Arabidopsis thaliana: one gene and its partners. The protein of the gene in region 4 interacts with the protein of the main gene of each other region in a pairwise test. Each region holds a gene or a part of one and is shown on either strand. Other genes may lie near its edges.

Region 1 (4,190 bases), on a different chromosome or scaffold from region 4:
TTTTTCGCGTAATTAAGATTAAATATTGGTAGGGTTTTTTCTCTGGAAATGTTCTAAGAATGTATATTTTCATTCTAAAGCTTAAAAGTAATATATGAACACCTAGAAAACATATTGATTTAATAGTAAAATAATGCGGTCCCAATAGTAAGCTATAAGAAATCAAGAACAAATCTTCCTATGGCAAACATAATCTGCCTTTATTCTTTGGCTTTATTTTTCTTAACTAGGAAAACAATACAACGTTACAAATTACAATCAAGTGAAATGGAAGGTGGAGAGTGGTCCAAAACACAAAGAAGATATATTTTTCTATGATTAACATGTAATTGAGATTAAGGAGCTATAAGTAGGAAAGAGTCAACGACTCTTGTTTTGTTTTTTGGTTTCTGATTTTGTCTGATCGTCTCGTAGCTGTATGCCTAATTAATGCCTGTATGACCGGTAGGTTTTGTGGTTGCATCAAAAAACAGTGGAAATTCTCTAGTAAAAAGAGCAACTTTCAGTTTTTTTTTTTTTTAATCTCCATTTTGGAATCACCTTTGCGATGATTTTAAGTCTTTGTAGTTTGATCTTGTATACTTTCTCAAGAAGAGAATTTTATGTTTTTTTTTTGTTACTTCTCCGACAAGAAACTGTTAATCCCGTGGATGGAGTCAGATTATTCTTTAGTTCCGCAGTGAAGATTCACTAGTTCACATCACCAGTGACGGATCATACTCAAAAGTTTCTCCAGATTTTACAAATCTCCCTTTGACCCGTTTTCTCGTATCAGCTCTGGCTTTGCGTGATGCATATCTTATTTGCTTCCCAAACCTAGAAGAAATTGGTACCACAAATATCAATGAGATTATGTTTTAAAAGCATGATAATGACTCTGATTATGTGTCTCAAAAACTTACATGCGCTTTGATTTCTTTTGTTTGTATCTCTTTTTAGCCTCATCCCTTAATTTTGGATTAAAACTAACTTCAACATTCGATTCCCATGGCGAATCTCCTATGAGAAACCCTGGTGAAATTCCGCAATCTTGGTAATCAGTCGCATTGCTTTCTCCTGTGAGGTTAGACATCGAAAGTGACATGTTCGGTACAACGTTCCCGGATAAAGTAGGAAGCAGTAATGAAGGAAGGCCAATGTTATTCTCTTCCTTAAAAGAATCCTCGTACTCGTAACATTTGGTATTGTCAAGTGATGAACATCCGATTATATCATTGCTTGCGTTGAAATTCAACGGCGCATCATCTAAGTTTATCCCTTCGCATAGATCCAAACCAGAACATTCCTGCATATAGAACGGAATATAAATGAAAAACATTCTTCTTTATCATAAATGAAACATTTTGATATATTACTTAAACAACACGTCACCTCTTCTATCACTTTTGGAAGATTAGATTCCATAGGAAAGAAAGAAGAATAGTCTTTAAGGTTCTGAGTTTGTGTAACCACGGAAGTTGATGAACCATTCCAATCGTCTAATTCCTGGAGCAGGGTATCAGAAAATGGAGAGACCAAACTTGTGACAGAAGGTTCTAAAGTTGAAGACCAGATCTTGCCGAAATCTGATGGAGAAGGACAATCAGAGTAAGGGTTCAGACTCTGAAGTCTGTGTCCTAAACCAGTGCAGTTACTAGCGGTCCACTGACATCCTTGGCAAAGAGAAACATTTTCGTTCATACAGTGTACTGCCGTGGGTTGTAAGGAACATTTCTCGCAGAGTAGAGATCGCGTGTGTCTTTGAGACAGAGGATTCGCTGAGTGTACATTAACGTCACAGTTTAAACAAAGTTTAGCCGAATCAGATTTGCAGTAGATTAATGCTTTTTCGGTTCCACAAAAGTCACATCGAGCCTCCATACTTCTTCGAAGACAAAACTCCAAAGAAATAACGATTTCTCAATCCCAATCGCTACACACACCTAAAATCCTATAGCATAGAAGGATCGTGAGACAAAAACAGAACATTCAGAGATCAAACAAAATTACGATTCATTATAGGTTCATGTATCTTTTTAATGTGTGACTGTGACTGTGACTAATACATGGTTGTGTTTGAATGTTAGAGAAACACTCACAAACTAAGAAAATGTGGATTCTCGAGACCGAATCAGTACTAAAATCACAATGTCTAGAAACTCATAACCAGTTAATTACAGAGTTTTTTCTAAACAAGAGTATAACAATAATCGTGTAAAATTGTTTATGTTTCAGGGTTCCAGAGATTAGAAGCTTTACAAGGGTGTGTGAGAGTCCAGTGAGAAGGAGATGAGAAAGAACAGAGAAGAAAAGGTTTTGCTCTGTTTTTATCCTGTGTGGGGTCCACCTTGTTAAGCGGGTTTGCCACGCGGGGTATCTTTTGTCACGTGTGGTTTTATTGTTCCTTAGATTTTGTTGATGTCATAATGTGGTTGACCATACAATTCGGAGTTTTTGTTTGATTCTTTAGGTACTTTCTGTGGCTCGCAAGAATTTCGAGAATTGTTAATAAAAAAACGTGTAAATGTCATTAATTTTGAACACGTTTTTCTTGTTATTCAAAACATCCGAGTAATAAGACTAGTTCGAAGCAATTTATTCCGAGTGTTGGTTTAATGGATCTAGGAGTTTGCAGCATACTAGTCCGGTTTCATTAACCTGTGGTTATGGATAGTTATTGTATCTATTTCTCACTAATTTTACTAAGTGTGTTTTCACAACTTAAAATATGAGATGTTAGAAGCACTTAAATGATTGAAATTCTAGTGAGCGATCATGTTTTAAGAGAGAAAACTTTGTGACAACGATTGATATTCGTTTACGATTTTTTACCAGCCTCAGTAAAAAGGCTAAATGTACTATTTTTGAAACATCTCCCAATGCATTCCATGCCAAAAAAGGCTAAATGTACTTGTAAACAATTCAACAGACAGTAACTGCTGGCATTAGCTGAAAAGGTCGCTCATGGCATGACCAGTCTGGTTGTCATTGTTTGTTTGCCAAAAGATTTCATTAGATGTCCAAAAAGCAGCTCATTCGACCAAACAATTGTTTCCTGATAAGTCAATTGTTTTGTTAATCAATTCTATAGGAACGCTAAATCCATTATTCGTCCAAAAATCAGCTCATAGTTTTCAATTGTTTTGTTAACCACTTATTTTGCAAAAGTAGTGAAGAAAACATAACATTTAAACACACCAATTGTTTTCATAAAGCCCTTCCACCAACTGAAAATCAAAGAATAACTAGCTAATCTCTTCCGGTATTAAAAAAGAGGAAAAACAAAACCAATTGATATAATGTGCGAGGCATTTCCAGGATCAAAAGGCATGGAAAAAAGCAAAAAGATCAGGATATACCACAACCAATATAGCGTCACAAGCCATTATACCTGAAGGAACTGTTTTTATCCTTCAGAATTGGTAATGGACGCCAATACAAAAACAAAAAACACTAAAACTCTTTCTTCAATAGGGCAAAATTTTTGATAAAAAATGCTCAGTGGAAGGAGAAGTCGTTTTAAAGGAGAGCTCACGGTAAACCCACTGCTCTTCTCACACTCTTCGTGCTTTCATCTCATCATTGCATCATCATCATCAAACCCATAACAGTAATCCAACAAAACAAAACAAAAAACATTGAAAGAACAAATAAGCTTCAGTGTGTGTAACAAATTCAGTTCATTGATTCAAAAACCTCACTGAAATCCGCTAAGATAATTGTTTTTATCATCATCAGCTTTATAACCCAAAACAAGTACATACAAACATCAATCAAACCTATTAACAATAATCCAACTAAACAAAAGCCAAACATTAAAAAAAAAAAAAAGCCTCAGTGTGTGTAACAAATTCAGATCATTGATTGAAAAACCTCACTGAAATCCGCTAAGATAATTGTTTTCTATCATCATAAGCTTATAAGTGGAAAAACATCAACCAACAAAAAAAAACAATAACAGAGAAATTTGTCTTCAAACCAATCAAAAGATAAGATTTTGGGTGAAAGGGGAATTAATACTCAGACAGCCAAGGGTTAATCTTCAACTTCTGGGAGAAGAATCCCAGATCTGAAACTCTAGTCCACAATACTCTTGTATCATCACCATATTCAACCCCTTCCACATCCCATAAAACTAAGACATCACAAATCTCTTTCACAAAAACCTTAAATATCACCAATTTCAACATATATACACAAACGAAAATAGT
Region 2 (5,273 bases), on a different chromosome or scaffold from region 4:
TATTCTAGAGTGCCCGGACCAAATGGATAGGGTAGCTGTTATCGGGCCAAAGGCCCATTAATATTTAAGAAAATTGATGAAAAGCCCATTATTATGAGAAAATGTAAGGCCCCAATTTTTTTTCCCTAGTGTTAACCATGGCCCAAAATGTTTTTCCCCCCAAATTACTTAATTATTGTTGGGACGAAGCTGTGCTTCTTGTTTATTTTTGTGTATCTTTCATCTTCTTGTAATCATCTTTTGTGAATCTGTTTTTTGAGAACCATCTTTTGTGCATTTTGTACTTGTTAAGTTACAAGTTGTAATTCACAACGAGAGCAAAATCAGCCAATTTATATTGAACTAAGTATTCTACAAACAAGTAAATACATGTGGTGAATTTGACAACCAAGGATACAAACTAGATCAAATTTACTAAAAAATCAGATAAATAATAAATAAAACAAATATCATCATTATCAACCATTGTTTGTTGAGGCAATGGATGTCGATGACAGCGTAAAGCATCAATAATGGAGCATACATATTAAAGACATTATTAATTTACTCGGAATTCATTAAAATATTGTCCCCCAACAACTCTACATTATCCACATGCTCTTGCCCTTTCCACCACCCACATTACCTTGATCTATTTAAAGTTTTTTCATTTGTGTTTCACCGAAAAAACACCAAAAATTGATAAATGTAATATTAGAAATAAAAAAAAACAATAATTGAGGCCAGGCCAACCTTATTAAAAAAGAAAGAAATAGACACTAAACACCAATTGGATCCTGTTGAGGCCAACCTTATATATACGCACGACAATAATTGGTCTTCGAGTTACATTGATACAAAAAGATCCGCACTACTAATCTTCCGTTTGTTGGTTTTACGATTGTTAACCATCTCATGTCATTTAGCTCCACTTATTGAAAAGTTACTAAAATAAAGAATAAACAAACAAAAAGGTATAATTTAAGGTGGTTGAAAATGTTGGATAAAAAAAGATTGTTGAGAAATGAAATAATGTAAGTAATAATTTGGTACGTCAAAGTAACACATTAAGATGCCTTACGGACACAGACCATATAGACAACACGATAATGCGTAAAAACAAAAGTTGGTTTTAACGGAAATAGATGCAACCTAATTAAATATACATATTAATATATGTATATAATACATATAACAAAAACGATTTAATTTTTTAAAATGTAATACACCACAATATTAATATTATTATTAATTAATATTATAAGCAAACTCCTTGCTCGGAACAATAGTTTCGAGCCGGTTTAGCTTTCTCGGTTCGAGATATCCAACCGATCGAAACAGGCTTTCTTCCTTTTTTAGGTAAGAACACGAAATGTCGTCGAGAACTCAACTTCTGTTCTTGCACTTTTCTAATGCCCTTGGAGCTGCAATATATAGAAAATTAGTATTAGCAAAGATTCATAGTATAATTTTACACCACCAGTTTTGGATTAAACAATACTAACCAAGTCCGATTGCTTCTGATCCCTTCATTATTCGTATACGTTTGCATGAATCAACAAACATCCTAAAATAGTCCAAACAACATGTAAATAAATATTTTGTATAGACGTATTTATAATAATAATTCATATATAAATTTAAAGATATAAAAATACTCACTCCCACGGTACGTCTCCTACAAGCATCCAGTCGCCATCTTTATCTTCATATGTTGGAACATAATCTGATCCGTTTAGAAGATCGATCAATTTACTCTCATTCATGAAATCTTTCATTCCTTGTGGTCCATAGTTGCCTGAAAAATAAAATTTCAAATTTCAAACAATATATGATAAAAAGGATCATGTTTTAGTAGATAGATATATTGTCAATTTTTATTTACCTATGGTAAAAGAGCTAAACATTTTGCTTAAGGCGTTGGAGAGATCTTGGTAAGTTTTGTAGAGTTTCAAGTCAATTTTCCGTAGGTACGGTGCACCGTCCATGCTAACCTTCACATAAGCCACGGTGGCACATGCGGAGGCGGATGAGGTGGCTCCACTGCTGCCAGAAGTCTTATCGTTTCCTTCGGTGGCATCTCCGGTGGTCGGTTTTTGGCCGGACATGACGTTCTTGCGGAAAGATCGTACCGGTGGCCATCCCACAACTTGTGCCCTGAAATTTCGTAATGATTTTTTTTTTTTAATTTCAATAATACTCATTACTTCTTTTTTTTGTAAAATGTTTGTAAATGATCTAGTTGTTCTACACGTGTCGGATGTTAGGTGGTTGTAGTTGTCCAAAAGTTTATTTAATCTTTAATCTTTTTGGTAGATAAAGAAAGATTCCTTATGTTTTGTATTTTTCTAGTTCTTCCCGACAAAAAAATAATCAAACAGACTCTCAACCTAACTACAATTGAAACATGGAGCAAAACCAAATAAAAAACAAAGATCTTAGGAGAAGTATCAGCATAATTATTCCGTTCGAGTTCCCTAACCTAGCTAGAAATCATGTTAAAGCGTATACATCTCTACATAATGACCGCCTAGTATAACCTAATTTTACCGAACCTAGAAGACAATATTATTAGTTGAAATAGAGATTGAAATTCAGTTTCTTACTTGGCTGGTGGTTTTACGACCTTCTCCTTCATATTCTCTAAATCGACTTTGGAAACTGAATCCATAGCCGTCGATGAAAGATTCAGTTTGAGATCAACAGTCTCAGAAAATCCTCTTTTACCATTATTTTTTCCAGCCATTTCTCCTCCGTGATTCCCACCCGGTAGCCCTAATCTCAGCTCCGTGGCCTCAAAATTAATCATATTTCTCGATATAATGATTATCAACGAGTAATTAGTTAGGTGATCCGATCGACAACGAGTAGGAGATTCTTCGGCTTCTAGGGTTTTTCTTTTAGTTCTTTTGATATTTTTTTGGGGAACTAAAACGTTTGAAGAGAGAGAGAGATAGGGGGATGTGAGATGTGTGTAGAGAAACAAAGGGCTAAATATTGGATCGTGTGTGGTATAAAATTATATATGGAATTGATCATTGAGGATGATTATTTGAACGGAGGTGATGTTGCCAGGTGGATGCTGGGATTGGTTGGACCGTAAGGAGTGTTGTCGGGAGAGAATGATGTCACGAATGGCGTCATTTTCCTGAGAATAATTGCGGCCAAGCCAGTGGGCAAAGGCCAACTTGGCACAGTCTCTCCTTTTCTGTGTCGAATTTATCCACCCAAAATAAATTCTAATCAAACTTGAAATATGAATCATTTTTACCACTCGCATAAAAAGGTATACCTCTTCTTTTTAGTACTTTAATCAGTTTTTACGGCAAAAGATATTCGAGTCTTTTGAAAAAATATCAAAAACAGAAATATCAATTTGATGAAAAATAATAGCAAAGAAAAAAAAGAAGAAAAAGACTAAATATATAAATAAAGAGTGTTTTGTCGGAGATTATTTTTATTTAATTGGTGATGGTTTATATGAAAATGGAATTAAAAAATGACAGCTAAGACATAATGGAGCCCACAGATGGGAAAGAAATCGAAAGTGGTCAGCTTCAAACATGTGTTTTGATTCCCGTGGATTCGATTCGTTCGTTGTCCTTCTTATGGGGTCCGCCATTCACAAGGCCTATTGGCCTATGCTTGCCTTTTTTTAAGACTATTTTCAATTTCTTATATTATAAAATGCCGACAAATACTAATTGAATTCAAATAAATTTTAAAGTTTAAACGAACTAAAAGTCCTGGTCTGCCATAGCATTTTCGTACTATACTTCCCATGTGCCCCTGTGGCCTTGTCTTGGCTCTAAATTCATGGATTATTGTGAAGTCAATAGATAATTAGGGATTCATGTTAATTCAAGTAATTGTGCGTTAAACATGATTACCAATTATGTAATTAGGAAACATTCCTTCCGATCAATGATTATAATATAGTATAATGCTGGGAATAATTTAATCTAGTGCTAATTTTTTTCTATGCAGGTGCAAATGCTAACTAATTCTTATGTGTATTGGGTTATATAATCTTCGGTGGGGAGGGCCAAACACGACTAACTCAACAGTAAATGGTCAACCATATGTGGTATGGGCGGCGGTACATGTCATGCCCATTTCGTCGACCCTAAAATATGGTAATGTAGTATTTTTTCACAAAGGAGCATAATAATAATAGCGTTGATAAATAAATGGCTCCATGCAAATTATATATAATAAAATTATAACAGCATAATGATCATCAACATCATTTATTGCTAAACATCATCATGTTCATGCCCCCATGCATGATTACGATGGAAGAATCTGACATAAAAAATTGAAGGTCCAAATTGACAACGACTTCATCTTAATCTTATAATCTACATGTCAAGAATTTTATATAAATAAAATTGATTAAATTTATATAGGTGAAAAATTTCATATAAACGTGAGGAGGAGGAGGAGAATGAGATAAAAGGGTCCACCTGGGCCCAAAAACACCAACCCTGTTGAGAGATGTTAGGACCCTCGTGTGGGCTGGGCCCAGTCAAAAATCATTGTCTTGTTGTGTATAACAAACATTACAGGTTCACACGTGTGACACACTAGGTCCTTAAATGCTATGAATATATGTGATCTGATTTGTTTTATTTTACCATTAATAAGAAGGAGCTTAAATCGAACAAAACTGAATGATAAAACAAGATTTCACCACTGTATATATCGTAATACAATAATACATGCTGAAAAATATTAAGGTAAATGTGTAGATGTAGAGAACAACATGGCTTAAACACAACCAAACCCATAAATTTATTATTCATGGATATTGGATATATGCATTATATGCATTATTATAAATTAATTGACCTCGTATTAACATTTTTCTAGAAATTGGTGCAGGGGGTGAATCGCGTCTACATCTATGTATTTTACTACATCCCCGTCTGTAAGGATTCACTGGTTGTTCGGAGGGTGCACATGCAGAAGGATACCGATGATGATCACAAGGAAGATCAGGCTTCAACCCTGGATACCCAATTACTTTTCCAACCGTCATGTTCATGCTGCTTATGAACACACATGCTATGAATGTTGCCACTAGCATAAACCTATTTGTTATTTTCATATTGCTCATGATTTGTGTTTATTTATGTGTGTGGGAGAAATATATATTTGTTGGTAAGAATGGTACAGTTCGTGGTATTTATAGTGAATAAATAATTGTGAAAGAGTCTTATACAACTTTTACTTAAAAGGAAATTACAATAGGATGTTGAATTGACCGGTAGAAAATGTACCTACAGAATTCT
Region 3 (5,478 bases), on a different chromosome or scaffold from region 4:
TTTTTCCGCGATGGATCTCTAAATAGTTCAAAAAGATCCAACATTTTTTGAATAATACGTACTTTTAGAGTATTTTTTGACAATGAGAGAGACATAGGGGTACCTAAACGTGAATTACTGGAAAAAGGGGACAATGATGTTGAAGAAGTCAATCTTTTGTCCTTATTGGTGCTTTCGAAGAAGTGGAGATTGACCCTGCAAACATTGTTAACCAACTTTTTTCCGAAATTATTGTGAGATTCGAGGAGTTTTGACAAATGTAGGACTTTTGTCGTTCAAAAGAAATGTTTTCATCTAAAACGCGTAAACCTGTAAAAGGCAGCTTCAGCTCTGATTAAACAAAGAGACTTGCAACAATGTCACTATGAGACATTACTGTTTAAAAATAGATTCAGAAACACTAATCAGTTTTCACACTAAAACAACTTTGTCTTCTGCCTTGTTTGTTTATTCCTCTGGATGTTTCATAGATATACCTTTAACAGGGTATAGCAGTTTCAAGTTCATAGATGAAACCCTTTCGCTCACAAATATTGTTTTAAAGCCTTCTTTATGAGAGTTGGATTGGTTCACCACATAGATTCTCTAACTCCTCTTCCAGGAGTTTATGCAACTTTGCTTCAGTTCGCCGATATATCCACGCATTAGCATCACGGTCCCAGTCAAATCTAGAAGGGCCACTGCACCGAGACAAAAGGAAGAATGAAGATTACATTAATGTGAATCTAAGATGTGGAAGCACAAAGTCAAGAGCAACAACACTATACAGTCATAAACAGTTTCATTTCTCCAAATATCATGAGTACAAAAATCAGAAGAGAGAGCAGAACATGATAATCCAGATGCGAAATTCAATCTAGGCGCCTAAAGTTAGCAACTTTCAAAAGGCAAGAAAGAATCTTTACCTCACAGGTGAAGACATCCAGATTTGTCGATTTGGAGTTTGCTTATTCAGTACATAAGTGCCTAAAGATCCAAGCTTAAGGGTAAGAACTTCATTCTGTTGGAAACAGCCAAAAGGACTGACTATAATAAGTACACATAGATTTCCAGAAATATGAACAAGATCTTAAATTGCTTAAAAGAGTTTAATCCTTACCCCATAATCTATGTCGAAACCATCAATCTGAACATTATCACCATAATCCTGAACATGAATCATGCAAGTAGAACATAGTGTAAGCTATTGCAATCTCAAGTAAAACGAAGAACCCTAGAGAGAAAAAGGTTCCAGCTTCAAATACCTCAATTTTCTCAAGAAGGTGATTAATTGTGAAGTTGGCTAATTTGTGAAACTCTTCCTCCTGCAAAACCGAACTGTTTTTTTCTTCCACTTTGTTCATATTCTCATGAAATTAACGATTCAGATACAATAAAGGAGATCAAAATGGAGAATATTAAAGTACCTGTAATCGACAGAAGCAGGACCTTGAGAAGAGAAGCTTCTGGTAGTCAAAGAATCATGGCGGATTCGAGATCCTATTCTCCAGAAGGAATCCAACGGTTCTATGGAATCTTGAATCAGATTGCTTGAAACTCTTACGCCATTGCTACGGAGAAGAGTTGGAGACAGCTTGAGAAACCTCGGCAATTTCCGTAGAAGAAACCTTGAAGCTGTAGCCATGGCGGTTCTGTCACAAGAAACATTCGACGCCTCTCTTCTTCTTATTCCTTCGTTGTCCAATTTAGGCCCACAATAAGGCCCAAATTTAGATTTACCCGGTTCACGTATTTCCCATGTTCCGGTTTACTGAAACCGGTATGGTTCTCAAGAGATTTGTCATTTGTGTGCGAAGAAGAGTTTTCTTCTCCTCTCATAAGAAAAAACCAGAATTTTGAAGAAGGAGAAAGAAAAAAATCTGGGTTTTTGGGAGCTGATTAGGTTTTGTTCCTTCAATCTCTGGGAATTTTCGCTATGCACTCAGGTGAAATTCGTTTTTTCCTCTATTTCAATCTCTGTCTTCCTGCGAGTTTACGTGAGAGAATAGTTTTTAATGATCCCGAGTTCGTCGAATTACAATGCAACTCCCAGTTTTTGTAGTTTTAATTAGCGAAATTCATCAATGGCATTGGAAATTTTAAGCCTTTTTTGGTTTGTTTTATGGTACTACTAATTATTCAAGCTAAGGAATTCCAAAGTTTTCGTTCGTTTTGATTGGGTTTAGAAGTATTTGGCTGATGAGAGAAAGAGCCATAATTCTGAAATTAAACCCTTTTATGTGAAGCTTGTGTAGATGTTTTACCTGAATTTCGGAATTACTAGCAACATTTCTAAATACACAAAGCATGATTGTAAAATGAAATTGATTTTGGTCAGGGCTTTGCATCTCTTGGTTATTGAATGGTGTCCGTGTTTCACTATTATCTTCTTATGTTTTTGATTTTTATGTGCTATTTTCGATAGATTCAGGCGAAGCGACCGCTGATGGCGATAAAGCTTCTACAGAAAACAGCAAAAAACGGAAGCTTAAGACTCCTATGCAAGTTATGGCGCTTGAGAATTTCTACAATGGTAAATTATGGCTTTGTTGTTTGCATATGTTCCTTTATACCAAGTTGTATATGCTTTACAGGTGTGATTTGGTTTTTCTACAGAGCATAAGTATCCGACTGAAGAAATGAAGGGCAAGTTAGCAGAGGAAGTTGGATTAACTGAGAAGCAAGTTTCAGGTTGGTTCTGCCATAGAAGGTTAAAAGACAAACGTCATGTAAAAGAAGATGGGAATGCCATTGGGAGCCAAGATCGGTCAAGCGTTGTTCTTCAGGATCGTGGAAGTGGGCTTCGACAGGATTCATGTGGTAGTACAAAGCAAACGGATTATTGGAACCCCAAGCCTAGGGAAGTTGAAAGTCAAAGGCTTTATATGGGAAATGCTGATGGTGAAGATAGTACATCTTCTGATCGTAGCTCATCATTACGTAAGAATCTTGTCTCTAGCAAAGATGGAATTCGCGATGTGGAAAGTTCTAGATATGTTGCACATAAAGACGTTATTCAGCATCCTCAGTTCATGAGAAGCTATGGGTATAATAAGCCTTCGGGATACTTGAAAGTGAAGGGAGAGAGTGAGAATTTTGCTATCACTGCCGTAAAGAGACAATTAGGAAGACAATACCAAGAGGATGGTCCACCTCTGGGGGTTGAATTTGATCCTCTTCCTCCCGGTGCATTTGAGCCTCAGACTAATCCTATAGTTCACGGTGAGTCATGATAAAATGTTTCAACTTTACCTTTAATTTTCTGGTTTATGATGTTATGAGTATTGAGTAAGTGGCTCAGAGAAGCTAAAACCATCTTCTTCGTGTGTCAGATTGTGAATGCCTTTACCCATGTCCAGTCGGATTTGATTGCTTTTTCTATCAACTGTTTTGTCAGAGCCAATATATGTTGGGAATCAGAGACGGCCTCACCTTCCACATTTACTTGGAACGAGGAAGAGCTTTAATCCTGGTCCTGTAAGTGAACATTTTCTGTATACTACATACCCATGAAGATAATATAAACTAGAATCTTAGTCTGCCATCACATTCTTTGGCTAAATTATCTTACTTTCTTTGAAGTATTATTAATATTTTCGTTTTCTGTCTTAATGTCTTTATAGAGCTATGAATTAGCTCGTAAATCAAAGTTGCATTCGCCAGATCCAGATTCAGAGGATGATGAGCATGATGATGATGACAACATAATGGTTGGAATGGAGCCTGGTCTAAGAGATAAGAAAAGTTTTGGGGAACCAAGACTGAAATCCCCTTCTACCAGTTTCTATAATTCTGTACCTCGCCACAAATCGTTTAAAGAGACATTCAAAGGTTCACCACGGGAAATCCCTGTAACTAACAGCAAGAAGGGTTGGATAAGTTCCAAAAGTTGGGCTGAAGGGTCGAGAAACCATCTGGTTGCCAACGTCCAAAATCTTTCTGGAAGCAATATTGAAACCAATCAGTCTCATGATTATGATAATAATATATCTAATGGCGGACGCAAGACGGGATATCTCACTAAATCTTCGAAGCTGTTACCTCCGAGTAGAAGCAGATCCCCTGAGTCAATGGATAGAGGTCCATCTTCTGGGATGGTAAAGATTTGTCTAATACTTCCATGTCTACATGTTCCTTTCTTGCCCTTTTATGGAAATATGACTTGTGTTTTGTGTGATATCTTCTTTTAAAGGCAGGAATATATCACGGGGAGAGGAATCAAATGAAAATGCAGAGAGAGAAATTGCATTCGACTGATGAACCACCGGTGAGTTTGATGGTTAACTATCTTAAAAATATAGATATTGATGTATATTTTAACAAAGTTTAGAGGCTCTATCAAGTTCGTGTTCTGACCTTTAACGAATGTTAATAGGTTGCCAAACGAGTGAAACATGGGTATATTCAGCAAGTATATGCACCAAAATCATCATCATACAGCGAGATTCTTGAACGAAAAAGCCAGATAAATCGGTTAGTAACCAACCATTGTGTAATGCATTTATTGTCCCAAAGAGATATCAAATCGGCTTATTGGATCATACTGTTATGTTTGTAGGTCTGGTGTGGAACTGCCTTCTAGTTTAAGCGGGGACGATGAGACTGACGAATCTAGCTCGTCAATGGATTAAGTAAAGAAAGGTACAAAGGAAGATTAGGAAATTCCGGTTTGTATAGATATATGATGAAACCGGTTTAGGATGTGAAAATGTTGCATCGTGTAATTGGTAAAAGTTAGAGCTCTCTTCATTTTGGTAACTAAACGGTCCCCAAAGAGATACAGTGAGCCAGTAATGAGCCTTTTTTTGTTTAAATTTGCTCCTAAACCGTTACCGGTTTGACCGAATTGAGTATGTAAATCCCAGTGATTACAAAATAACCAAAGTAAGGCCCATTTATTAATAAAGCTCAAATTAGGCCCAAAATATTATGATAGTCCGGTTTAGTCGTAAAAGGCGGTTCGGAAATGTGTGACTAGGAGATTTCGTCACATGAGAAAAAATCAGAGCCGTTGACTAGTTTTCGTAGAAAGTATGTGGTACAATTTTGATTCGGCCAAAAAAGGTTTTTTTCTTTTTCTTTTAGGGTTAGCGTTGCTTTGCCTCAAACTCAAATTTTGAAGATAATTTTTTTGGTTTCTCTGCTACTGATTTCGAATCTTTACGCTTAATCAATTATTCATCTGGATTTTCAAATCCAATCCTTTTCCTCCCTGGTAAGAATCTCTCTTCTTCTTCTTCTTCTCTCTCACGACGATTCCACTGTTCTCCGATTCTGTGTTAGTTCCTGCGATATTTTCCATCACTTGTTCGTGTTTCGTTATTACGGGTTTGTGTTTTGTGAACTTGTTGACCTTTGTGTCTCCGTAATTTCGTCCAACGGTTGATGTTTTTGATTGCTGATTAGATTTTTGTCGGTAGGTATTGAAAAAGATGATCTTTATGGATTTTGTTTTCTGTTTCTTCTTTCCTTTTTGTAATCTGACTTGCAAGCTTTTTG
Region 4 (5,142 bases):
ATTTGAGAGAGGGAAGAAGAAGAAGGGCTTACATGGCGAGGGAATCTGCGATTAACGTGAAGAAAATTGCGAAGAGAACAGAACATTTTCAGGAAAAAAGTTAAAAGTGAATAGAATGAGCCTCATGGTTTAACTCAGAGACATTGTATTCTATGGTATTCAACTATTCTACTGAAGAGGAAGGAAGGAGAAGAAGAAGAAGAAAGTAGGGTTTATGAAGAACTCTGGGTTTTGTTGCTTTTTTCCACCAAGTCTATTTCTTTACCTGTTGTTGTTCTTGTTTGTAAAATAATGATTTATGGGCCTTTGGAAACGGGCTACATAGGCCCAAAAGTTATAATTCTGGGCCCAGTCTTCTTTTTCTCATAACATTTTTTAACTCAGGGTTAATTAGATTGGTCGACTAAATTCGTAAATACTTTAAAGTTGATTGGTGGAAATCAGTTACATAATTACTCATGTTATGGAAAGGGCAAAAACAATAATGCTAAAGTGGTATTACATCATTCATGGTATGCAAGTGCAAAAACAATAATGATAAAAGGTGTTAAAAGCTAAAATAAGTTATTTACTGTAAATACTTTTTAATTTGAGGAAAAAGTAATATATCAAAACAGATTAGAAAACAGTAAAACTCAGAAATATGATATGGTGTACTTGTACCATTGTTTCTTTTCTTTCTTCTCTAGTGTTACAATTTAAGAAATCACAGTAAGAAAAAATGGCGACTAAAACTCAGTGCCAAGCCAAAGATAAAAGCGACTCGTATTATTTGCTCTACGACTTCTTCTCTCCATTTGCATTAAGCAGAGAGAGAGAGAGAGAGGAAAGGAGCAAAAGCTTTTTTCTGTGTTACTCTTTCTTCTTTTATGACAACATCTCAACGGTCTTCTTCTCAATGTCTTCTTCACCCTCACCTTCACCTCCTTCTGTTGCTTCTTCTTCTCCTTCCTCAGCCGCGTAAACTACTTCTTCACCTTCTTCGTAAGCGTATTCTCCTCCCTCTTCTTCATATCCTTCTTCGTAATAGTACTCTCCGTTTAGCTCATCGCCTTCATAAGCTTGCTCGTCTTCATTTCCTTCATACACTTCCTCCCCAACAATTTCTTCTTCCTCCATAACCGTTCCTTCTTCTTCTACTTCAGCTTTGGGTTCAGAGACAACCTCGGTTTTCTCTTCGGTTATGAGTTTGATCTCATCTCCAGCTTCCTCTTTCGATATCGTCTCGTCCTTGTTGTTGTTTCTGCTACCACCAGATGCGGCCGCTTTTTTTCTCTTGAGAATCTCACTGAAAGGCAATGGAGCTGCAAATGAATCCCTTGATCGCTTATGACTATGATGATCCTCTTCAAAGCTTTTCCTCTTCCCAAGAGATGGCTCTGGCTTACTTTCCTCTCTGCTGCTTTTAGGAGCTGATTTTCTTTCGTCTTCCATTTCTCTTCTTCTCGCCCATGGAGCCCCGAAACCTCTTTCCTGATTACCACTATGGTTTTCCTCTAACCTACCCTTAATTCTATCTCGGAGTCTACCCTGAGAAGGTAACTCGCTTCTGTCCCTTCCCCTCTCACTTCTCCTGTCAAAGTGGTGACCCTCTTCGCCATTGCTTCTCTCACGAAGCTTAATTCTACCCTGAAGACGACTACTGCTAATGGAGTTTTCCCTCGGTGTATCCCTACGAGACTCTCTATATCCTCTGTCCATCGAAGAGTCAGGAGCAGCATAGTCATGGCCTCCTACTGATAATCTCATACCATTGCCTTTTCTCTGCTTAGCCAAACGATATCTCAGATCCGATTCCAGTATGTTCTCTGATCTCTCATCTTCTGCGTAAACCCTTCTGTCCAAACGATCCTCTCTCTCAGAAGAAACTCGACGATGGCCCCATCCCCTGTCTTCCCTCCGATCATATGAATCAAAACGTTGTTCACGTAATGCTTCTTTATCACCATCAGCAATTGCACTGAAATCAGGGTCATACTCTGAGTTCCCTCTCTCCTGACTTCTACGTCCATATCGATCTTCAACATGATAATACTCAGAATCTCCAGCCTCATTATCCACAAGAACATCAAACCCAGGAGACGACTCTCTTAAAACGTCATCTGCATCCTTACCATTGTGGAAACTGTTATTATCATCAGATCCATATTTCTGAAGCAACTGAGTAGAATGGCCTCCTTCAGTAAAAGAAGGGAATCCTGGACCCTTTCTCTGCACAACAGGCTCATATCCCACATGGTTTGGAATGTATCCCTCTACACTTCTACTATCCCTTAGTCCAGTAGAAGCGACTCTTGGTGCAGCCGATATGTCAGTATGTCCTTTAACCACCTTTGAGAGATTAACATCAGGAAGTTTCTTCTCCTCAGTGTTATTTTCAATTGGCTTTTTAGAACACTGAGGATCAGTAGCAGGCTTAGCTTCTACAGGATGCTGTTTTTTATACGCAGCAGGATTCGGCGTGTGCAAGAACGAACACATATCTCCTTTCATACACATGCCTTTTTGAAAGAACAGACATGGAACAGGCTGTTTTGCAACACTAGGATGCTGCGCGGTTGCATGTATTGGCTGTACAGAAACAGCAGGAGCACCTCCTTGATTTCCCAACAATCCCTCCAAAGGCTGTAAGAAAACAAAACCACAAACATAAGCACACTTTGATAATACAACTCAAGAAGCTCAAGCAGAGACTATCTATTGAGGAAGAAAGTAAACTCACAGGATGCCGAAATCCACATTTGGGATTCAAACAGTTTCCATTCAACCAATAATAGCAATCCCTCGGGTTCATACGCGCATACTCACTGTGGCGATACTCGCATTCAGGTCCCTGTAAGCAAAAAAGGAAGAAACCATAAGAATCGTTCTTCAGCATAAACATACACATCGAGCAAAAATCATATTCACAGAACATGAAAATCTCCTTTATCAGAACATCCTTATAAAGCTTTGTATATGTAATTTTCAATCTAGCTAACAAGAAGCCCTAAGAAACAACAATACTTAGAATCACGAGGTTCGAAATCACCAGATCTAAATCTCGCACCAAAATTAAGCAGATGGAGAAGTGAAGTATGTATAGATAGCTTCGAGGGACACAAAAACACAGAGAAACTTGAAATCGGGTGAAAGAAACTTGAGATCTCAAATCCAAAACCCTAATTGAAGCAGAAACTGGATAAGATCTAAGCGAAACAATAATCAAAAATCAATTACCTTCTTGCAGGTTAAAGGAGAAGCGAGAAAGTAAACGCAATCGGTGTTCCACTTCAAAGCATCTTCTTCAGCAGATGAAACAGTCTCTGATTGCTTCTTCTGCTCATGTTGCTGTTGCGGTTGAGTCGCAGGCGCAAACATTATTATTACTTGGAAATTTCTGAATCTCTCTTTCAAGTAGATCGCAAGGTTTCAGATCGAAACCCTAGGAAGATCGAAAATCACCGATTCAGAGAGAGTCCCGTGGAAGAAGAAGAAGAAGACGAGCCGCCACAAAGAGCGCACCAGAGAGAAACTCGCGACTGTGTGTGTGTGCCCTTTAAAGCTAAGCCTAAAAGTTTTTTTTTTTGGCTCTTTTTTTTTCTTATGTGATGGGAAATATCAATAGATCAAGTTCGGTTTATTTGTAATCAATCAAATACTGACACGTGGGGATTTATTATTGGTTTATTTGTTAGCCATATTGTTTGCCTTGATATTATAACTTCTGATGGAACCAGCGACTTTGGAATGTTGTGAAATAGACAATGATAAGGTGATTTAAACCGAACTTGAACCAAAATTGTAAACCGATTGGTAGATCTTTTACAATCAAACATTGGTAAGGAAATCTAACCAAAATTAAATCCAAACCAAAATCAAAACTTTGGTTTTCACTTTGGTAAGGACATCTTGAACCGAGTAATTCGAAGATCTCTCAAAACCAAAATTTGAAGATGTACAAAGCAACTAAAAGATCACAAGAAATAAGTTTTTCAAAGCTTTTATTATACAAATGATGATAGAAAGATGTGTTCTTGAGAATTAACAACATCACATTCACAATAGGATTGGATTTAAGAACAAAAGCTAAAGCAAGAGAACAACAATGAAGGTACTTTGCCTGTTCTTCGGATTTGTTCAGCTTGTTTCTCTGTTTTAGCTGCCTGATGATCCTTCTTTGCTTCAGCCGCTGCTCGCTTTTCCTCTGCTTTGCGCTCGATTGTAGCGAGTTTCTTCATCAACCGGTCTTGTGCTCGTCCCTTAATCCTCTCAACTTTAACCTACAATATCAAGAACTCCACCATCATCATTCATGTTTTTCCAAGTTTGTTCACAATCATGACTTGAACTTACGTAGCTATGTTAGTGTAGTTTACCTCGGTTTTCTTCATCTCGGCTTCAGATTTCGCCTTCTGATGATTCTCCCATGCTTGAATCTTCATCTCTTCGCGTCTGAACCTGGAGATTACAGAACTCATCATAAGCTTAAAGTTTCGAGAATAACTAGAGGACTATGACAAACAATTCAACTTTGGACTACCTAGCCATGTGCTTAGCTTTTTCCGCTTCCTCCCACGCTGTAGCACGAGCTTCAGAAACACTTTTAGAAGTTTGTAGAGAAGCTTTGGTCTTTAATGATGTGGATGCGTCTTTATCTTCATCCTCCTTGCTAGCCCAAGCAGCAATGTTAAATTTACCAAGTTGAGTACCCAACACCATTATCTCTCTCCTAGTTTTCATTTGAAGCTCTTTCTCTGACAGTTCCTTGTTACTCATAGGAGAAGCTGATGCTTGTCTGCCTGGACTTGAAGGTTCAGAAGATATAGGACTTCGTATTGGCGTTGTTGCCCTAATCGGTGTCCCGTTTCTAGAAGGTTCTTGGCTCGCTATAGGAGTCATTTCAGTTCCCATGTCTCTCATTGACACAGACCTTGCCGTTGAAGGCGGTTGAGCAAACGCAGTTGCGACTGACGAGTCATGACGGCTGAGATTAACTGCAAGAAAGCAAGTAAAATTGGCTTTAGAAGATAAATAGAGCATACAAACTGAATAACTCAAAGAGCTAGCTAACACCACCTTCAGTTGCTGATTCTACAATAGAGTTCTCAACCATAAGAACCGGTTTGACATATGAATCCACGGTAGTGTACGAATCAACTT

The links.
Region 1: the proteins of AT2G02160 (region 4) and BBX9 interact in a two-hybrid assay, tested with the Arabidopsis thaliana proteins (one large-scale study listed by BioGRID).
Region 2: the proteins of AT2G02160 (region 4) and IAA16 interact in binary tests that used the Arabidopsis thaliana proteins (3 or more experiments, as listed by UniProt).
Region 3: the proteins of AT2G02160 (region 4) and AT4G03250 interact in a two-hybrid assay, tested with the Arabidopsis thaliana proteins (one large-scale study listed by BioGRID).

What each region holds. Positions count from the first base shown.
Region 1 is NC_003075.7:8,709,247-8,713,436, forward strand, and holds BBX9 (B-box type zinc finger protein with CCT domain-containing protein), read right to left. Parts: upstream 2,281-4,190; 5' UTR 2,239-2,280; exon of another isoform or gene 2,234-2,238; intron 1,931-2,233; 5' UTR 1,861-1,930; coding exon 1,372-1,860; intron 1,286-1,371; coding exon 903-1,285; intron 817-902; coding exon 696-816; 3' UTR 521-695; downstream 1-520.
Region 2 is NC_003074.8:1,287,628-1,292,900, forward strand, and holds IAA16 (indoleacetic acid-induced protein 16), read right to left. Parts: upstream 3,265-5,273; 5' UTR 2,789-3,264; coding exon 2,586-2,788; intron 2,137-2,585; coding exon 1,865-2,136; intron 1,778-1,864; coding exon 1,642-1,777; intron 1,547-1,641; coding exon 1,485-1,546; intron 1,404-1,484; coding exon 1,366-1,403; 3' UTR 528-1,365; downstream 1-527. Other genes in the region: RALFL21 (RALF-like 21), read right to left, coding at 4,781-5,098. UniProt on the Arabidopsis thaliana protein: Aux/IAA proteins are short-lived transcriptional factors that function as repressors of early auxin response genes at low auxin concentrations.
Region 3 is NC_003075.7:1,423,135-1,428,612, forward strand, and holds AT4G03250 (Homeodomain-like superfamily protein), read left to right. Parts: upstream 1-1,767; 5' UTR 1,768-1,915; coding exon 1,916-1,925; intron 1,926-2,404; coding exon 2,405-2,512; intron 2,513-2,595; coding exon 2,596-3,201; intron 3,202-3,376; coding exon 3,377-3,456; intron 3,457-3,602; coding exon 3,603-4,076; intron 4,077-4,171; coding exon 4,172-4,246; intron 4,247-4,354; coding exon 4,355-4,452; intron 4,453-4,537; coding exon 4,538-4,610; 3' UTR 4,611-4,928; downstream 4,929-5,478. Other genes in the region: FH (frataxin-like protein), read right to left, coding at 551-680, 906-1,000, 1,100-1,147, 1,245-1,317, 1,407-1,624.
Region 4 is NC_003071.7:552,540-557,681, forward strand, and holds AT2G02160 (CCCH-type zinc finger family protein), read right to left. Parts: upstream 3,593-5,142; 5' UTR 3,361-3,592; coding exon 3,220-3,360; intron 2,834-3,219; coding exon 2,723-2,833; intron 2,626-2,722; coding exon 868-2,625; 3' UTR 547-867; downstream 1-546. Other genes in the region: EMB2794 (Tetratricopeptide repeat (TPR)-like superfamily protein), read right to left, coding at 1-86; AT2G02170 (Remorin family protein), read right to left, coding at 4,056-4,262, 4,359-4,440, 4,523-4,976, 5,059-5,142.